2 linked regions of the Bombyx mori genome follow. The protein of the gene in region 2 interacts with the protein of the main gene of each other region in a pairwise test. Links are inferred from orthologs where the notes say so. Each region holds a gene or a part of one and is shown on either strand. Other genes may lie near its edges.

Region 1 (3,932 bases), on a different chromosome or scaffold from region 2:
TGTAAAAATTATATTTCCTCTCTGATATTTTATGCTGAAATCCATATTGCATATCATTAGCTATTTCTTAACGTTGAAAAAAATTGTTACCTTTTTTTCAACAGTACAGACATATTGGTTTTTAACGAATTTACTTTCGGATTCATTATTGTATTTACATTAACAAGAAGAAAATCTAATAAAACAACAAACATTAGTTAAGCTTAAGCTCAGCGAAAAGCAAGAAATGAGCGTGGATCGCATTTATCCACTTAAAGTAGCAGTAAAAAAATGAGTAACTACGACAGAGGACGTGAGTTCTCGAGTTCGGAAGTCTCAGGAAATTCGTATCTTTTAGTATTTTATTTTCATCGTATCTAATTTCAATTCATTTTATTCTATTCCATGTTATTCAATCTCCTTTTGTTATTAATATTAAATAAATCTACTTCATTTAAATCTCTTGTTTCCATAGCGTTTTCAGTTTTCCATAGAACAAATATCTGGAACAATTAGTAGCATTAGGCTTAAGGACGCAACATAGGTTACTAGAAAGATTAAAAAAAAAAAAAGCTCAATTTGAAAAGAATACCTCTACCCTCCATAGAAAAGAAGAAAGAAGAAAGTCTAAAGCGGTATGTAGAGAACACGACTTTACCTACGTTGTCGTAAATTAGTGTTGTGTCTATGTCTGTCATATCTGGAGGAGGACTTTTTGGCGGGAACGCGAGGAGTGAAGTTGTGTGATTTGTTTTATTTTGTATATTTAGTGTTTCTTCAGGTTTAAATGTGTAATAACGGTGGTTTATTAACTGTTTAATATCTGTGAAAGTGCACAAATGTGGGAAAATGAAACAAAGCCGCTGGACGCAACTTCTCGGGATCCTCCAAAAAGTCCACTGAAAAATCTTAGTAAATGACCACCATTTTGCTAAGATTATATTTCATCCCATATCATCTCATTTCATTTAATTTCATCCCAGTTGATTAATGTCTCAAATTAATCATTTTCATTTCATTTCACTCCATATTATCATTTTTCGTAAAAATAAGAATATAAATTAAAATAAGACATGACTTAAAAGTCTTAGTTACCAGGTCATAAAATCACCAAAAAAAAAACATCTGGAGGATTATAAACCAATACAGCGCCATCTCTAGTTGATCAGTGGATCGATTTCAATATTTAATGCGAAGCAGTCAGTATGATAGTCACTAGATGTCCTTTGTTTCGAGGTTTTACGACCAGCTAGATGTCATGTTCATTCAATCGCAACGTTCAACAGTTCAACTTTATTCAGCTTATTCCGCTTTGTTTTGCGGAGCTTAGAGGACGTAGTGTCATAGCGCCTGCGTTTGTGTATTGTGTCCAATGTTTTTATGTTAAAAAGTATTTTTTGAGTGAACACACAATTAAAACTTAAACGGACAGTGTTTTTTTAAGCGAACCAAGACAATGCGTGCTTTTTGAACTTTAGAAAGATTGTTACATTCGTACATTTGCGCAATCGTTAGTGAGACTCGATGTCAATAAACTTGTCGGTTGTATTTTATGGGAAAGGTGTGCCGCGTCGTGCTGTTACCTGTTTGCGACGGCCGGGTGTTCGAGTCTGATACAGCAGCGCCAGGAGCGTTCAGGCCATGGTGTCGTAGTCAAGGTGAGGTGCGTCGGTTAGAGTACTTTTCGGGGCCGCGCTATGGTGTGCGGGACTCTGGCGAGCGTGCATTCACCTCTGACCCGCGCGCGGGGCGAGCGACACTCAAGGTCGGTGCGCCGCCTGAAGGTCGTTTGTCACGTGACACGAAGGGTGCACACCCCGACCCTCGCGAGTCGGGACTATCGTTGCCGCCGTCGCGACGCTTGTTTTCATTTAAGACAGTCGTACACAAAAGTTGTCTCTTTAAAATCTTCTTTTATTAGTAATTAATTTTTTGGAAATATGAAAACTTGACACGTTTAGTTCGAGTAGCAGTGAAATATCTTTTGATTCAGTTAAAACCTCGGAATTATGTTTAAAAAAAAATTACATTCACCGGTAAAAGGATTTCGGTTATTGAGAACAAGGTCTGAATTAAAATCAAGGTTCAATGGGATATGACTTATTTACAATCGCTTGTTTATAACGTTCATTTATTTAATATTATTGAATAGTTTATGTTACGTTCAGTCATAAGAGAAATAAAATAGTTCATTATTATAAGAATCTTGCGTGCTTGTATGAGTGGAATTGCCTTGCAGTTGATTTCTGCCACGAAGCAATCATCCGCTCTGGTTTAAAGGTCACAGGTAACAACTGTTGTACCTGTGCGAATGTTATTGAGATTTCAGTCCTAGGTGGCAGGGTGAGAATGGCATTAATGTGGCAAACAATGATTTCCAAATAGACTGTCTAACAAAATATAGTTGAAAAGCTTAAAAAACACACTTTTATAACAAGCCTAATTAAAAATTTAGCGTTATGTGTATAATATCAGACTAATATAATGCATTTATTTTATTTTGACCGGTATGTATTTGATCCGTGTGCAATTTTTCAATGTCACTATCAAATGTCAAGTTGATAAAAACGTGTTAAAAATGCTATAATTTAAATGTTCAAACAATATTTTTCAATAGTTTGGATGATAGATTACGACGTATATTTGCGAGTTGCTCATTAAGTATGCACTTAAGTATCTAGGAAGCTCTTTGTCTTGCACTTGTGTCGCGAAATAACGGACTCTGTGTAAGTTGTCATAAGTATACGTATTATTGTGTTTCTGAGTGCACAAACTCTTATTATTTTTTCTACCTATGCTGATAGTCTTGAGGAGCCTCTCAAGGCTATTTCAGCTTCACCCTGGCTTGTAGGTGAGCTTTCGAGGCTCAAACCAGTAGTGTTGCTAAACCTGGTCCGAGCAAGAGCAGTGCTTCGTAGAATCTACCACCGGACCAAAAACGCGATCCACTGAGAAGATCCGGCGAGAAACTCAATGGGATGTGTTTATGGGCTACAGTCATAATAACAAACAGGTGTGTTCCAATAATTTCAAGATCGTCCAACGGAATCGAATATAAATAACAAAACAATACGACGATATTGTAACAAGTGGGCAGTGTATGAAATTATCCTTTACCTCGAACATTACGTAGTCAAGGACACTACGGAATCATAAAAAGCCCGTGTAGACGAAACAGCGATAAAACGTACGAGCACGCGTAGAAATGCACGCTCGAATCTCACGAAGAATAACGCCTTAAAATAATTCAAACTGCTCCAATAGCGCCAGACAGAGAAAAATGTCACACGAATATTCAGGAAGCGGTTACTCAACGACTTAATCTATTTATGTTTTTATTGCTTTGACGACTGAACGAGCTCACGGCCAACCTGATCTTAAGTGATTAACAGACAACAAAGACATCACAATGTGAATGCCGTCTTGCTTGAGGAATTAGGGCGAAATCTAAATTGCATTTAATAACTATCTTATCCTTGGAAACGGTAGAAACGGCCAGGGTAGTGATACCTACCGGTATGGACTTACTACGCAGCACTAGCAGTAAACAATCACCGTCATGATAATCGCCTTATCGTTACCGCCGCTGACTACACCCCGAATCCTGATCACGGAGGAGCCAGTCACCGTCGACGCCCTAGACACGTCCTTACGGATCCATCAGGTCCATATAACCCTTGCATTAGACGCCTTCAGCTCTAACACTAGGAGCAGGCTTGGGGACCCGGCAACCATACTCGTAGAACTCTACAAAGAGTTCGACGTGCAACCTGACCATGCATCAGCCCGCTGAGGTTCTCGCCATTCCGATCCGGTAGTAGATTCATTCGCGTAGCAGCTGCTCTTGAGTTGTTAGGTCTCCTTCGAAGGCGTTATGGTAGCTGTTAGGAAATCCCACCCCTCCTGGCTGAGCCGTTGCTCGCCCACATGTCCTGGTGAAACTGGAAAGGCCT
Region 2 (3,832 bases):
TTTTCTGATTACATAAAAGCGTTATATTGAATTTAACGTTAATTTTAAGAGATAGGAAAATTTTAAATGATTTTTGATTTACTGATTGAAAGACCACCTGTTAACATCATCATTTTTATTTTACTTTAATATTTTACCTGGCACATGAATTCTAAGGGATGATCGGAGGCCCGCAGCAGCTGATCTAGCTCCCGCAAACGACTCTCGCATTTGATCTGACGTCGTCCGAGGGACTGGCCGTTTTTACTAACTCGAACCCACACCAACATGGAGACTTCCAAACATGATTCTAATTAAACAAACAAAAATTCCATTAATTCACTTATTAACATTATTTTATATGTAAGAGTGATGAGAATTATAATACTAAATTACGAACGGAAAAAAATTCAACATATTGCTTGCAATATTTTTTTACCTGGAATATCAAACTGCAAAGTATACGGGTTTCTTTTCTTGAAGGTCGGTATTTGTATGACCTCTCCTTTCTTATCGACCATTATCTTGATGCTGTCTTCTTCTCGAATAGGATCGTTAAGGAGCGCTATCACGCGACTCTGTCCCTGTGAACGAAGATAAATGACTTTTCGAGATGGATTCGGTACGCCTTTTACTTTGAAGACACATTTTAGGAACTTTTTAAATTTACGTTGAAAGTTCACGAGTTCGACACTGATTACTGAAATATAATTATAAGTAAGATTCAAGATGCTAATTTAAACATTAGAAAAGTATAATATATTTCTTTGAGCTTATTGTGACTTTCACACATTTCTTAATATCATTTAGGTATCAAATTTTGCCAAGCCACATGACCTTCGATCTAAACGCAAAACTTCCATACAAAAAAAAAAACTATATTCTATTTCTGCTCTGAAAGTTATTTACATTCACTTTCTGCAAGACACTAGCAAGTCACTTACTATTTTGACTTTTTTTGGTACAATGGAGAAGCTTGTTCTATCTGTAGCTGTATCTTTGCAGTCTTTAGTTCGTAAAATTCCAACGGCCGCCGTCAGAAAGGTGTCAACAAATGACGTGTCTTTCTCGCGTACCGACATCATATGCCATTGGTCTATTGTTGGATATTCTGAAATAGGAAATTGTTTCAACTATATTGTTTTAAATTCATGTATTCAATGACTTTTTTATTTTTATTGTTGATTGTTTTTTGTAAGTTTTTATATGCAGCTTTTTCTTTTTTTCTTTGTCTTAGTTTTAATGTTAGTTAACGATATTTCTATTTTAAGCACAAACGCTCTTAAGCAAGATGTGTTCACACCCAATAGGGTGAATTCTATCATGTATTATTTTATGTAAATAAGTTCAATGTTTATGTGTGCAGATTTAATCCAGTTGTGTGAACCTAATAGGCACGCGTATGTAGTGGCTAATGTACCTATATTAAAAACTTTACGATTCTCACCTTCACAATTTTCAGCTATAATATGACCTTTTTCAACTCCGAGGAGCATGACTAAAATTTTATCAGTTTTAAAGACATTTTCGGCGTTGAGATCTTTTTTCAAATCAGTCATTTTGGTTGCTAAATTCGGACACAGGATTACGATTTGCAGTTGCGCTTTTGACAGTTTATCGACTTTCTCCTGCGAATCGGAAGACAACAGTTCCTCTGCAGTCACTGGTGTCACCCTGTTAAAAAAATAATTAATAAAAAACACAATTAATACAATACAATTCCGGTTTTTGAATTATTGTGCATTGCGATTTTGAATCTAAAAATGACCATATTAAAGATTATTATTATTATTCACCTATAATGGTGTCTGGCTCTTTGTGACATAATTTTGTCGAAGCTGGCAACCAAGTAATCTGACCAAAGAGCACTCTCCGGAGACCCCGAGCTCCACAGTATCGCTATATCTTCCATTTCTGTAACAACAACGAAATTATATTCTTGTGATGCTTTGTGTGTAAAGTAACGTAAGTATGAAACTAAATATCCCCAAGTATCAGACCGATACATATAGGACCTCAATAGTGGGATTACTTTATAAAGTATGTACTATAGTACATACCTAATATCCAAATAATCTTTATACCTTTATACTTTATCGGCTTATTGTTCAGAAGTGAATCAGTGCCGATGAACGTAACCCAAAAAACATTACAAATCATATAATTAATCACGAATTATTTTCTAGTAAAATAAAAATATTTTTACACTGATTATATCAACTGTAATAAACTACACTGATATCATATAACATTCTAAAGTTGGGGGAGGGTGATGGGAGAGATGTGCTCCGCATTAAACGCTTCACTCTCCCCCCTTTGCCTTTTCATTAATTCTGTCTCATGCGAGGCTCGGACGTGGGTTGTTGAGCGACAGGAGGTTTTAGTCGGTTAGACTCCGACATACCCCGCCCGCCATCCCCAGTGGAGGGTGGGAGTCTGGCGATTTCCTCTTGACCAAAAAAAAACATCCTAAAGCGAAACAGTCTTCGCACTAAGTAAATCGGGTAAATTCCATGGAAGCAGCAATTCTGTTAGCTTATATAAGCAGCTTTCACACAAACAATGGAATTCCTATTTAATTAAAAGAAGTGCTTGGTTTGCACCGACCACCACAATTTAATCACATAGTGCACGGTGCTCTTAAATGTCAAACGGAAGCCACGAGTGGACACACGTTAATTGAGTCAGGAAATTCAATTAACTCTTCGTCGCTCGCTTCGGAAATTCCCATTTTGCTAACGAACACAAGAGAACAATTTAATTGATGCCTCAGTGAGCTTTTAACATTGTTGTCAAGCGTTGTCATGATTATTTTTCCATATGAATAACTCAGTTAAAAATATATATAAGAAAAAAAGGAAACCAAATTGGGTAGAATATTATTCATTACCCCAGTTATCAATTAGCGAAATAAGTAGAAAAGAGAACACAGTTGAATTATTATGCAAATTTAAACGTTAAATATACTTCTAATATTCTTTAAAATTATTATAAAAATATTTCCTAAAGACTATGAATTTATCAGACCTGATACTCTTTCGAACGGGGGTGTCGTGGCAAGTTATTTATACCTTTAACGTGTACTGTTTGATTGTTTGAATATTTAGTAATAGAAATCATTAAAACATTATTTTGTTAAAATTTTCTACGCTTCTTGCTTAAAGTTTATCTTAAAGTATGCAATATTTCTTCTGTTACGTTCATTGTATCGTTCTACATTTGAATACTGAAATTGTTTGTAATCGTCGATCTCAAAGGCGGTCGGTCAGAGCGATCAAATTTAATACCTTCGACTGAGAGGAAGTGTTGTCAAGGGATAATCAAGACATGAAAGATGTCGTTCACTTGATATCGAACGAGGGTCATTGCCTGGATCGAAGTTCACGAAGGCCCGTCGTAAAGCTTTGTACGCATGCCGCTCGATTTATTTATGTAAACACCGTGTGCATACAGCTGTTAATATTAACGATAAAAATCTAATCTAACACGTGTTTTATAAAAGAAAAACCATTAAAGAATATATATGTATTTCGGCGGAGCGTTAACCGTACCGGCATGCTCGTTCTATTTACGCTGTGGTAACTAAATGGGTAGGTACTTGAAATCAATTAACTTTGACCAATGATTAATTACTGCAGTACACTCAAAGACTAACGCTATACGTATTTTGATTACGCAGTCATTTCAAGTGCTTATTTTTTTAATTCTAAACTTAGGCATTAAATTATACAGCCATATTCTGAAAGGAATACTGTCAGCATAAATAATAACGACAAAAACAAGATGCTAATAAAAGTAAAACGTTGTTCCAGAGACATACTTATTTCTTTTCTATTATATGCACGAATGAAAA

Evidence for each region.
Region 1: the proteins of phosphoinositide 3-kinase adapter protein 1 (region 2) and nuclear hormone receptor FTZ-F1 beta interact in a two-hybrid assay, tested with the Drosophila melanogaster proteins (2 studies listed by BioGRID). The link is inferred for Bombyx mori from reciprocal best matches to the Drosophila melanogaster genes stumps and Hr39.

Annotation. Positions count from the first base shown.
Region 1 is NC_085121.1:3,625,869-3,629,800, reverse strand, and holds the start of nuclear hormone receptor FTZ-F1 beta, read left to right. Parts: upstream 1-1,191; 5' UTR 1,192-1,642; intron 1,643-3,932.
Region 2 is NC_085118.1:7,634,096-7,637,927, reverse strand, and holds part of phosphoinositide 3-kinase adapter protein 1, read right to left. Parts: intron 1,894-3,832; coding exon 1,776-1,893; intron 1,654-1,775; coding exon 1,427-1,653; intron 1,091-1,426; coding exon 924-1,090; intron 564-923; coding exon 419-563; intron 290-418; coding exon 138-289; intron 1-137.